2 linked regions of the Canis lupus familiaris genome follow. The protein of the gene in region 2 purifies or fractionates together with the protein of the main gene of each other region. This does not show direct contact. Links are inferred from orthologs where the notes say so. Each region holds a gene or a part of one and is shown on either strand. Other genes may lie near its edges.

The links. The genes of interacting proteins can lie anywhere in the genome.
Region 1: the proteins of NCAPD3 (region 2) and SMC4 purify together in Homo sapiens (co-immunoprecipitation; 3 studies listed by BioGRID and IntAct, with this or other methods). This does not show direct contact. The link is inferred for Canis lupus familiaris from reciprocal best matches to the Homo sapiens genes NCAPD3 and SMC4.

Annotation. Positions count from the first base shown.
Region 1 is NC_049255.1:26,640,397-26,647,233, reverse strand, and holds the start of SMC4 (structural maintenance of chromosomes protein 4), read right to left. Parts: upstream 4,523-6,837; 5' UTR 4,364-4,522; intron 3,191-4,363; 5' UTR 3,186-3,190; coding exon 3,047-3,185; intron 2,157-3,046; coding exon 1,978-2,156; intron 1,526-1,977; coding exon 1,334-1,525; intron 1-1,333. UniProt on the Homo sapiens protein: Central component of the condensin complex, a complex required for conversion of interphase chromatin into mitotic-like condense chromosomes.
Region 2 is NC_049226.1:1,050,157-1,056,893, forward strand, and holds part of NCAPD3 (condensin-2 complex subunit D3), read left to right. Parts: intron 1-30; coding exon 31-185; intron 186-2,145; coding exon 2,146-2,308; intron 2,309-6,737.

The DNA.
Region 1 (6,837 bases), on a different chromosome or scaffold from region 2:
CAAACAGAAACAAAACAAAAAGCCCACCTTCAAACAAGTCTAAAAATATATTTGATTGAAAAAAGAGCACTTGAAGGGGGACAAGAATCTCACATTATCTGAAACAAACTTACCCAAATTATTAAATAATGTTGACAGATTAAATTACCAGTCCATTAAAAAAGCTACAAGAGATGATCCAAGGAAAAGGTAGTAATGGCGTAACATGGCTTAGTTGGTTTTTTTTTTTTTTGGTAAACAATATGCCATGTTAACGGAAGGTATAAAGAATTGCAAAGAATTGACAACTACATTCCTCCCAATTTCTAAAAAAATAAAATAAAACGGACTTTAAAGAATGAAGTATAAATCTACTTTAATATTAAAACTTGCTTTCCTTTAAAAGTTTTGTCATTTTGAAATTATGGCTTTTAAAAATTTACGTGCATCAAACATAATTAAGCAAATAAATCAAACCGGATTTACTGGCAATCATTTTCCAACCTACATTATATGACAGAAAAGCACTAAGAAACAAAATTAAAATAGATGCCACCAGGTAGATTTAATTAAAGCACTTCATATTAAAAAAAATCTAAAAAACAAAACTTGGAAGCCAAGTCACATCCTTGCTTCATTATGCAGTTTTCTATATTCTTAGGTTCCAATCAGTGATTTTTAAGCCATGAATCCCCAAAGTTAGCTATTCAAAAGACGAGAGAAAAAAAAATACAATAGAACCATTTAAATAATCTAGACGTTTTACCTAAAATTGTTTCCTTTTCTAGAAAATAAACATATTAACTTAACCTTCCCCAATTTTAAAGGGTAGTTTATTCATTTACAAAGGTTGGTTTAAACTGAAGCAGAGCTCTTTCATATTCCAAACTAATAACATTAATATGAATTAAAATAACGGGGATAATAAAATTAGTCATCTGTTATATTTTCAAATTTAGGTAATTTATCTGAAAGCAATAAAAACAGAACTTTAAAAACGAACCCAAAATTACAGTTAAAGAATACCTAGTTGGCACTTAGGATACCAAAACTGCTCAATGTTTTATTCTAAAAAGGTAGGCACTATGATGAGCTACTTATAATTCATTCCACTGGCTAAAAATTTTAATATTTTAACAGCTGCCACCCCCACTACTCAAAAAAAAAAAAAAATACGGTTTTGGAGGTAATGAAATGAGTATCTGGGGGGTAATAAAATCATTATCTATTCTGCTTTGAACATACACTGATTTTTAAAAACCAATTTAAGCGAAAAATTATAATTGTGCAATGTATGGAAATTATGTTCCATACTTGGAAGTTGCAAATAACGAAATACTCGCAAATCCCTTACCTTATCAATTATCTTCTGAAAATGAACTTCTACAGTACAACTCTGAATATCCTTGTGTTCATCAGAATTGTGTATTAGTACCGAAAGTTTTTTAGATCTTATTTTTTGTGCTCGATAGCCAAACACAAAAAGCATAGAATCAATAACATTGGATTTGCCACTGCCATTTGGCCCAATAATACAGGAAAAGCGCTGCATAAAAAGAACAGGAAAAAAAAATTAAAGTGAAGTTAAAAAGGTCATACTATATAACTGATTTTAATTTAAACCGCTTGCCTTTTTTACTTGCAGCAAAACTATTTAAAATTTTCATTTCAACTTGTTTTCCTACATTATATTCTCCTTTATAACAAGCTTCAACATTTTAAGACTATAGTCTAAATCACTTTTACAAAATTCATTCTAATAGAAAAAATACTTCCTCCAAACAAACAAAAATAACCCCTCACCAATTCTACTCTGTGTGGAAAACTTAACAGCTAAAGAGGTACCAACGATAACCAGGATAAACAAAAACTAATTTCAGTTGTTAAAAACACAGGAAACATACCATGTATTATCAGTGAGGATAAACAGGATAAAACTGAAATACCTTGTAATAAAAACACATTACTCTATAATAGTTATTTAAAATGATCAAATACCTTATGAAAAGGTCCCAAAATTTTTTCCCCAGCATAGGATTTGAAGTTCTGGTTTACAATATGAGTTATCATAAGCCGAGGAGCTCCAGCTTCATTGGCCATGGCTGGAGGCGGGGGAGGAGGGATGCTATTCAAAATCTCTTCTAAACTTCTATTATCAATTTCCTCACTTGGTGTCTCTAAGTCAGTCAAAGGGAAGGGAAAGCAAGAGGAAAAAGAAAGCCTGCATTAGTGCAATTAGTTCGGAGGACTACTGCCTGCTAATCTTTGGAAAAATGTTACTTATGAAACCTAGGAATCTGTATTTTCCACTTAAATGTATTTTACTAAGAAGAAATGAAAATCTTTCAGCTTGATTTTATAAAAATAGAAATTCTTAAAGAAATGACCACCAGTCACAAAATCCTACAAAAATCTATCTCTTAGGAGTCAAAATACTACACCATAAAGCAAATCTGGGAAAACCACAACAACCTGATTCTCTGTTCCTCGCCTAAACAGGTGGTTAAATCCTAAGGCTCTAGATCTAACTTTCTCCCAATCTCTGAGCACCTGGAACCTTAACTTTGGACACTCAAGAGCTTCCAGCGACTCTGCCACGGGGCTTCCTAATGTCACCCAATTCCAGTACTCACAAAAAAGCTACCGTAGTTTCAAATAAATTATCGTTATCTTTTTAAACGCAATTTAGACCAGAGAGGTTAAATTAGGGCCATGTCACTTTTAAGATACAATCATGTTAATTCTGCCTAGAAAACAGTCCACTAGCTATTGGCTGATCACGCCGATCTCCGAGGAAATACAAGGCCACAAATAAAATCGTAAATGTAGCCACGCACTTGCCCCAATCCCCTCCAACACCGTAACACCGAAATTGCACGAAGACTCCGACCTCCGAAAATCGCCAAATCGCTTTGTCGAGCACTACGGAACCGACATGCGACCTACAGTCGCCAACTCCGCAGCCCCTCAGCTCCGCGCCCCCAAACACCCGCCAGTCCCGGCTTGGGCGCGGACCCACGCTGGCCGCCCCGCGCGTTCTCCAGCGGAGGAGCGGCGAGGTACTTACCTGTGGAAGCAGGGGCCGGGCTGCCCGCGCGGCCAGGCGGGGGTTCGGGCTCCGCGTCGCTGCTGGGGCCGTCCGGGGACTGCGGCGGCTCTTCCCTCCCGCGCCGGGCGGTGGAAGGTTGGGTGCCCTTTCGGGGCATGGTCGCTGGGGCCGGGGGAGAGCAGGGGCGAGTCAGTCCGCCGGGCCGCAGGGCTGCGCGGGTACATTCCCCGCCGGCCACCGCGTCGGATGAGCTCAGCCCCCACCCCATCCCACTCGGGGAAAAACTCCGTCCACCCGTTTCCGAGAACCCCTTTTAGATAACGCCGCCGGACGCCGGCGGGTGCTCGGTAAAGAAAGGCGCGCGCACACACACACACACACACAACCCCAAGTGCCAAAAAAGGCGAGATGCGTTTTCTTAAGCCCGAAGCAACTGGGCAAACCTAGACGTGCGTGGCCACCAGGCAAAGGGCAGAACGGCTTACGTTCCATTTTCTTAATGCCTCCCCACCCCCGTCCTCCCACGGCAGAAGGGTCTAACAATCCTCTAATTTCCTAACGAAATAATTCCTGCGCGGCGGCATTTGCTGGTATTCCCACGCTGCTGGGGTTAGCGAAGCAAGCGCAGAAGAGACTTTGGCCGAGAAGACTTTTGTATCCGCTTCAGGTCTGAGGGACTCTCAACTCCTCCTGAGGAGCGACGACTAACGGGCGACTCGCCACCCACTTTCCCCGCCATTTGGCTCCGGGCGCCGCTGACGGCCCCGGGGGCTTCCAGGTCTCGCTCGCTGCCGTCGGACCCGGAGACGGGGGTCGGCCACTCCCGATTTCCAAGACCAGACCTAGCAGCGCCTGGTCCGGGCCAATCATCTTGGGGGTGGCGGGGGTCTGTCCCCTCCGACCCCCCCGTGGAGCCTCGCTGGACAATCCGCTACGAAAGGTCATCACGAAGGGCTCGGACTCGGTGAGCAGTCCCTTGGGGGAAGAGAGGAGGTCAGGGGGCCGGGGCAGGGGAGACGCCCTTTCCCCGACAGAGACCGGGATTTCCGAGAAGAGCTCTGCGAGGCTTAAGAGTCCGCGTCCCCCGCGCCCCCCCCCCGCCCCGAGGCGCTTAAGTAGCTCAGAGAAGTGGCGCCCGCGAGGAGCGCGCGGGAGCCCCGACCGCCGGGAGGCGGCCGAGGGGGGAGGGGTGACAGCGAAAGAAACCTCCCGGCGGCTGCCTCAGCCCAGAGCGGACTTCGGCGGCTCCAGCTCAAGGCCTCTACTTTCCCGGCGCCCGCGGACCGGGCAGGAAGGGAGAGTGTGACAACCTGGTCAGGAAAAGAAGTACTTTACCTGCGGCGCAGGCCACTCGCACCAAAACCGGAGACCGTTGTATAGCACCCCCCGCTCCTACCGGTGTTTCGGCTCCGGGTCCTTCACTCGAAAATGGCGCCTAAAATACAAACTCGAACGGAAATTCGTTACAAATGCGCGCAATGCTTTCTGGGAACCACTAATTTGAAAAAAATGCGGCGCTTGCCACCGCCATCTTCTGGTCGCTTGCACGCATGCGCGAACTCCTGGCGGGACCCTGGCGGGACCCCGGCGGCCGGGCTCGTCTGTAGTAAGTGAAGAGGCGGAGCGAAGCGCTGTTTTGTTTTAGGCCTACGGCAACAGTACTCTTAAAAAATACCAAAAAAAAAAAAAAAAAAAGAAAAGAAATCCCAATCTAGAGAGAGTTTTGAACGAGAGGAAAAAAAAAAAAAAAAACCCAACCCAGGAGGGCTCCACCCACAGCTGGAGGAGGGCTCCGTCGTCTACTAACGTCCCTTCAGGAGAGGGCGGGCTCGGGTGACCCGCGGAGGGGGAAGTATCGCGAGAAGAGGGAGTGTGCGCAGCTCGTAGGAGTCACTATGGTGACAGGGAGGTCGGGAGGCTTCTTGGTAACTGGTCCTAGCTCCGGGAGCAATCGCCTCTGCTTTCCTGGAACTTTAAGGTAAATCTCGTCGCCTCCGGACGTGGTGAGGAAAGGGTTTGGAAATTGTGGCCATCGACGGATCCCACCTTACCTAGTGTGATAGCGTATGCGGCACCGAGCATCTGCCGCGTCCCCCTGCAGGCAGCGAGCGGGGCGCTGGACGAAGCTTTTGGGATGCGAAGCAGGAAGCCCTGAGTTTGGAAGGAGTAGAAGGACAAGACGAAGAACAGAAACACCCGGATCGGTGAATGATTGCATAGTCTATACGTCAATAGCAAAATACTTTGGAATTTGTTGGTGTCAGGTCATTCGTGTCACTAGCGAAAGGGGAATTTCGGGCTTTTAGGATGATTTGATTGAGATTCCGTAATGGAAGAAAATGATTGGTTGATGTCATCTGGTTATCTCCACGAGAAAATTATCGATCGGAAAATATTCCTTCGGTAACTTTTGAATACGTTGTACTGTGAATTACTAAGCAGGTATTCCTGTTTCCAGAGAACTTAGTTTTGTGGGTCGATTTTTAACGTGGAGTCCGTGGTCCTATTGGTGGGGCGATTGAGATTCAGTGGAATTCATAATGCTCCCCCCTCCCACCCCCCACCGCCGCCAGCTGAAACGGTAAACAGAATTCTGTGTGTTTGTGCATTTTCCTGGGGAGTTAGTTTCCTCAGAACTTTGATTCTCAAACGTGGTCCTAATCACCTATTATGTTAACCACCGCCCCCAATAAGTATGTATTCAGCGACACTTAGGAAATTGTCATTGAGAACTGGGAGCCCTGCCCTCCCTTTGACTTTTGCATACTTAGTGCCTGGCATACTAAAGCACGGAGAAATCTGCTTTATAAATGAATTTATGTTACCATTCTAAGTAAGTAGTACGAATCTTGCGCCGGGAGTAAAAAGAAAAGTTCAGTGATTCTCAAGAGGGATGTGGAGGAGACACTCCCTGACAACTCTTTTAAGAATTTGGTGAAGTTCAGAGACTGATGTGGTTTGCCAGAACATTGACTCGGGTGTATAACCCACATTTATTTATTTTTATTTAAATTCAAGTTAGTTAACCTATTGAATTATTAGTTTCAGGGGTAGAATTTAGTCCAATTTAGTGATTCATCATTTGCATGTAACAGTGTTACATCAAGTGCCTCCTTAATGCCTATCACCCAATAATATGCCTTTTCTTTCAAAGCTGAAAAAAAATAGCTATTGTTTTCCTAAGATAAACTACAGACAAAGTCTATGAAAAAAATTTTTTGGCTGGTATGCATATTAAGAAAACGTAATGATTCTCTTTCAAAGCTTATGGAAACCTTTGGATTTTCAAAGTTTGTAAAACACTACAAAACTGGGGATGGAGAGGTATCAACCATGAAAAAAAGCAAAGACTAGGCCAAATTGAGTGGGACAGAAGGGTCATGGAGACAATGTAATTAAAAGATGTTACCAGTTAACAAAATCCCAAATCCCATCATTTTTTTAGCTGCATGCTTGGACAACTTACCCAATTTATCAATCTCTCTGAAAATATTTGTTATAAAATTAGTATATACTGTCTGCCCTATAGAATTGTCTGTAATCGTCTACCACACATGCTAAGCATTTGATGTTACTGTGTTTACGACACTGATTTTATTAGGGTATGTATTAAGGATGAATAATGGGATGGCGAGTTAGAAGGTCAGCTTATCAAGGTTCTTGAAAGCCAGACTGACTGAAGATGTTAAATATGATACGAAGGAACCACTTATTAGAAAAATTTTGGGGATCCCTGGGTGGCGCAGCGGTTTGGCGCCTGCCTTTGGCCCAGGGCGCGATCCTGGAGACCAGGGATCGAATCCCACGTC
Region 2 (6,737 bases):
GAGCCTCGCCTTGACCGCCCTTTCCCCCAGGATGGGTGGACGCAGTGTGGGAAGCGGACTTCACGGAGGCCGAGCCCTTGGATCCTCGCGTGGAAGCAGAGATCTTAGAGACTGGGTTGAGCGCGTTCACTAAACTACATGAGGGCATTGTGCCCTTCGCTACGGAAGAGCACGGCCCTGCAGAGGTGAGCCCCGGCCGGGAAGGTGGCCATCCACAGGTGTCAGCGGGGGCCGGGAGGCAGCGCTGGCCTGAGCGCAGCCACCTGTGCGCACAGTTCCTGACGACCGGGGCAGGAAGAGCATAGCATGTGGCCCGTGTGCTATCAAACCCTGGCGGCTGCTGGTTAAGTGGGGAATTACAGGTTCAGTTTTAGGCTTTTGCACATGAGCTCCTGTTAGGGCATCGTCGCGGAGAAGTCCCTGGCAGTGTGCATTGGAAGACCCGGAGGGAAGTGCAAGTTCAGCAGCCTGGCTGGGCGAGCCCTCTGATCCCGGGTGCAGCGACGCGGAAGTGGGGGGTGAGGAAGAGACCAGGACGGGCCGGGTCGGGTAGAGACAGGACTGCCGGTGGCCTGCAGACAAGCACCAGAGTGAGGAGCGCTGATCCGAAGACAGGGAGGAGCCAGGCACCAGTGCTGCGAGGTCATGGGCAGGCGGAGTCCTGACACGGGCGCTTGGGCCACAGGTCGTTGGATCGTCCCTGGTGACCTACGAGGTCACAGTTCCTCATGAGGTGGGTAGAGCTGAGGTAGCACTAGGAGTGAGGAGGTGGGCAGTCTGCAGTGCTGCAGCCACGGGGCGCGTCTGGGCCGGTGCTGTGTGAGCCATCCCTCAGGGAAGCCTGACCGCAAGCAGATGCCCACCTCCCGCCAGACTAAGGTTTCCGGGGCACAGGGAGCACGAGATGGTGGTCCCGCGGCAGCAGATGAACGCCATGCAGCTGGTACTCCAGCAGCGACACTCTGTGCCCACCACCTCATCCGGCTGCTCAATGCAAGCGGGACAGCCTCCCCAACTCCCCGGCCTGCAAGCCTGAGCAGCGCCACTGGGACTGCCGCGAGCACCTTGACTGCATGATGCACGTGAAGGAGTTTGAGTGGAACGGCAACTGCTCCAGTGGAAGAAGCGGCAGAGCAGAGGGAGGCGACAGATGTGGCCAGAGGCCAGGGAGCTGGGGAGGTGGCCCCCGGGATAGTCCTGTAGTGGACCCGCCCCCACCCTGTGGACCAGTTGATCAATAATAGCCTCCAGGCCCATCAGCCAGAAAAAAGAAAAAGAGTGAGGAGATAACTGCTATAAAGGTAGGAGGGGGTCTTCTAGAAGTTTCACCGTGGAAGAGCGCACCGTGGAAGAATGCGCTTCTGTAAAGTGGCACATGCTAAGCAGAGTGGCCAAGCCAAGGCATTACCTGCTACTTTCCCCATCTTCAGGGAAGCAGGAAGTACAAGATCTGATTTCTTGAACTTTCATGGGCCTATGTTTTTTAAAGATACTCCAGGATAAACCATATGTAGTTGCTGCTGTGTTTGGTTTGTAGAAATAACCCATTTCCTCTTCATGTGTTTAATTGGCAAAACATGGAACGATGATATAATTATTAAAATTGTGGTTTATAGTTTAGGGTGTATTTCCTTTCTCACTTAGGCCTCTCCTGAAATCTGAGGGCTAAACTTTCAGGTATTTCCTTTCCTGCTCTCATTGCCCATAAAGCATTTAAATTTAAGTAAATGGCTCTGATTTCTTTAGTTAGTAACTAGTGATAAATGGTTTTGTGTACATTTAACAGATAGAGGAGTAACTTGTCTGAGTAAACACTAATATAGGGTGTCCCAAAGGTCTTAGTATAGTTTTTAGCTATGATAATTTCAGAAATACATATGCTTCAAACTTATCCACAAATTATTTTTGAAAATTTAATTATTTAAATTTATTACATACTTATTTATCTTTGTAATTTTGAATACTGCATTTTGATTTTTCGTTTCGATCCCTTTGAAGATTTATAGTTGGGAATCAAGTTGGTCTGTTGTGTATATATATATATATTTTTTTTTTTTTTTTTTTTTAAGGTACTAAATACTTGGAAAAATCAAGAGATTTTCCCATTCTCTAATTCTTGGCTTTTATGTTTCTTCCTCCACCCAGAGCATTTGGTCCTTCTTCATTGAGAACCGTGTTTCTCACAGGGCACTGGTGGCATTGTTCTATCACTTTGTTCAAGCCGTTCATACGAGAAGCGTCAGTGTGCAGTGTCGACAGTATGGCCTTCATGCTGCTGGGCTTTATTTTCTGTTGCTGGAAGTACCAGGTATGTGTATTCGATACGGTAGGATAAAATATGTTTTTGTTTTAAATTTTTACATTGTTTGAACCCTTATATTTTGTTTTCTCACTTCTAAAATGGAGCAGTGGTAACCCATCTCGCGGAATTTTTCTGAGTATTAAATGAGAGTAAGTCTGTAAAATACATGGCACGTTACAGGTGTTCGAGAAATATCTTTCCCTTGTTTCTTTAAATGCGTTTGTTTTCTAACGTGGTGTGTCTGTAACCTAATGCAGTTAATCTGAGAGAGGTAAGGCTCGAGGGAGATTGTTTTCAAGCTACAGAAGCTCCATTCCTACCTACCCCCACCTAGTATAAAAATCTGATACTGCCCACTCGTCTCCTGACTCCCCGTCCAGGCTGAGAAAGACTGCTGGGCAGTCCCTGTGTTACATATCTCTCTCCTATGCAGATATGGAGAAACAGTTTACCGTACTAAGAAAGAAAGCGTGAGAATCACTAGTAATGCTTGATGAAGGAAAGTGTAGGAAGGTAGTCTGTTGATGAGCACTGTTCTACTTCTTTTACTGTCAGAGCACTCAGGTGGCTGTTCCTCCTGTGAGCAATAAAGGAGTCCCTTCTACCCACCCAAACCCAAGGCAAGAGAGGATGGAACATGGAGGGGGATGCAGTGGAGAACATAGTTACTGTTTGTCATTGTTTACATAAATTCATTTCTAAGAAATTTCAAGGATTTATCCCATATGATTTGGAAATTGCTAAAAAGACATATTAAAGCCTTGAACATTATTTTGTATTATTGTTTTTTTTTTTTTTTTAAGATTTTAATCATTTATTCATGAGAGACACAGAGAGAGGCAGAGACATAGGCAGAGGGAGAAGCAGGCTCCCTGTAGGGAGCCCGACGCGGGACTCCATCCTGGGTCCCCAGGATCACACCCCAGGCTGAAGGCGGCGCCAAACCACTGGGCTATTGGGGCTGCCCTATTTTGTATTATCGTTAAAGTTACCAATAATGACTGTTGAAATAAGTTCTTAAAGACTTTGGTCTTGCTAAGCAGAGTCTCAGGTCTAACCAAGCTGTCTCACAGAAAAATGATGGTTTTAGGAACTCAAAAGTTTTATTTTTCTCCTCCCTTGCTCGATGCAGTTCCTTCTGATTAAGGTTGAGATGTATGCCAAAGCCAAGAGTGAAGAGTGTTGCTCATCGTAGGCCACTTGCAGCTTTCCAGCAAGACGTGTTCCTGCCAATTACCTTCTGTTTTTAAATGTATCTGGATTATGTTTGGGATACTGTTGATACTTAATTTTTAATCACACTGTGCTCTTTTTCAAGATTGTTTGGTTATTCTAGTCCCTTGTATTTCCATGTAAATTGTAGAAGTTGCATGTCAGTGTCTACCCCAAAAAAGGCTTCTGGGATTTTGACAGTGCACTGAATCTGTAGATCAATTTGGGGAGTGTTGCTGTCTAAACAACATTAGGTCTTCCAATCCATGAGCACAACGTGCCTTTCCATTTATTTCGGTTTTCTCTAATTTGTTTGAATGATACTTTTAAATGTATAATTCTTGTGCTTATTTGGTTAGATTTATTCAGAAGTATTTTATTTTTTCCATGCTATTGTAGATGAAATTACTTTCTCAATTTCATTTTCAGATTGCTTACCTGTAATGTCTAGAAGTACAATTCATTATTAAGTGTAGTTGATGTACAATGTCACATTAATTTCGGGCGTACAATATAGTGGTGGGAGAAGTTTATGGACAAGTCTGTACCTTATGCTGTGCTCAGTACAAGTGAGGTTATCATCTGTCACCATACAGTGTTGTTACAGTACCATCGAGTATATTCCCCGTGCTATGCCTTGGATCCCCATGACTTAGTCTGTAACTGGAGGCCTTCCACTTCCCTGCATCCATTTTGCCCATCTTCAACCCCTCAAGCAACTACCAGTTTGTTCTCTGTATTTATTGGTTTGTTTCAGCTTTGTTTTGTTTTATAATTTTCACATATATGTGAAATCATATGGTATTTGTCTTTCTCTGATTTCACTTAGCACACTATCCTCTAGGTCCATCTATGTTGTTGCAAATGTCAGGATTTCATTCCTTTGCAGCTGAGTAACACTTTATTTTATGTATATCCCCTATCTTTATTCATTCATCTGTCAATGGACAGTTGGGTTGGGCTGCTTCCATATCTGGACTGTTGTAAATAATGCTGCAGTAAACATAGGAGTACATATATATTTTTGAACTAGTAGTGTTCTTCTTCGGTAAGATACCCAGTAGTGGAATTACTGGATCTTATGGTATTTGTTTTTAATTTTTTTGAGGAACTTCCATGCTATTTTCTTTCCACAGTGGCTGTACCAATATTCCCACCAATAGCGCATGAAAGTTCCTCTTTTCCCACATCTTTGCCAACATTTGTCATTTCTTGTCTTTTTGATTTTAGCCATTGTGACAGGTATGAGGTAATAGCTCATTGTGGTTTTGATTTGCATTTCCCTGATGACTAGTAATTTGAGCATCTTTTCAAGGGCTTGTTGACCATTTGTCTTTTTTTGAAAACTGTTCTATTCAGATCCTCTCCCCTTTCCTTAATTAGAGAAGTACAATTGATTTTTTTATTACTGATCTTATACCCTGAAACTTTGCTGAACTCATCTATTGTTACTGGTAGGATTTTCTATGTGTAAGGTTATATCATCTGTGAGTAAACATAATTTTATTTCGTCCTTTCCAGTTTAGGTGCCTTTTATTTCTTTTTCTTGAGTAATTGCCCTGATGAGGACCTCCAGTATAGTGCTGAGCAGAAGTCAGGAGGTGGGCTTCTTGTCTTATTCCTGACCTCAGGAGGAAAACTTTCAGTCTTTTGCCCTTAAGTATGTTATATGCCGTGGGTGTTTTGAGGTTCACCTTTATGATACTGTTATTTCTAATTTGTTGAGTATTTTATTATGAAAGGACTGTGTGTTGCCAGATTCTGTTAGCTAATATTTTATTGAAGATTTTTGCATCTGTATTTACAAGGGATATCTTTTTTGATAAGCTTTTGTCTGATTTGAGTTTCAGGATAATACCAGTCTCATGTAGAATGAGTTGAGTAGTTTTCTTGCCTTTTTTGTATCTTAGAAGTTGGTGAAGAAGGGGTCGTTTTTCTGCCTTAAATTTTTGTAGATTTCAATAACAAAAGCCATCTGGATCTGCAGGTTTTCTTTGAAAGTTTTGTTTGTATAATCTATAGTGATATGTCCCCTTTCATGTCTGATTGGTAATTTGTATCTTTTGTTGTTGTTTTCATCATCTAGAAAAAGTTCCATTAAATTGTATTGACCATTTCAAAGAACCCGCTTGTGATGTTATTGATTATACTGTGTTCTTGTGGCACCTGGGTGGCTCAGTCGGTTAAGCATCCCACTCTTGGTTTCAGCTCAGGCCATGATCTCAGGGTCATGGGATTGAGTCCCACATCAGGCTCTGAGCTTAGCCCTCCACTTGTGTTTGAGCACTTGCTCGCTTGCTTGCTCTCTTTCATAAATAAAATCCTTTAAAAAGAGATGACTTCATGATAGCCTAGCCTATACACTAATAAATGAATCTTTATGGAGTTTTTATGGCATACAGTATTAACAGTCACATTCATAGTGCAGTATTGAAAACATTGTTACGTGATTGTTTCCCTTCAAATAGTGTTTTAATTATGTTTTGATAGGCAGTTAACTGTTAGATTAACTTTTTCCTTTTGAGGCTTGTTTTAAAGCTTTCTTGGAGCAGATATGAAATAGCCTTTACTCTGGAGCTAGTTTAGCTCAGGTGTTTAAGGTTTCAGCATCGGCTGTCCAGAACTCAAATATTTCTCAACCCTGTGTGGGTTATGAAAATTATTCATCTTCTAGCTCCTTGGAGGTTGTTTTTTGCCTACCCTCATGGAGTTTTACCTCTTCGTGCTTATCTTCTGCCCTATGGAGATCTCTGAAGCTTTTTTTCTGTGTAGCTTCCTCTTTTCTAGCCCTTGCCTTTTTGACTCTGATTTCTGTGTTCTCAGCTTAGACCGTCATAATGTACTTAGGGCCACCATTTTCTGCTGTTGTCCAGAAATTGCCTCAAAACATGAAACTGGGACAATTTTAGTGTTTACCTCATTTATTTTTGTTCTTCAGAGATTGTTTTTCTATGCTGCCTATTGCACTGTTTTTTTTTTTTTTTTAAGGTTTTATTTATTCATGAGAGACACAGAGAGAGGCAGAGACACAGGCAGAGGGAGAAGCAGGCTACCTGCGGGGAACACAATGCAGGACTCGATCCTGGGACTCCAGGATCATGCCCTGAGCAGAAGACAGACACTCAACCAATGAGCTGTCCAGGCATCCCTTGCTCCGTGTCTTAAGAGGATTATTTTATACATTTTTGTCCAGTTTTATAGTTTATGGTGGCATGAAAAATAT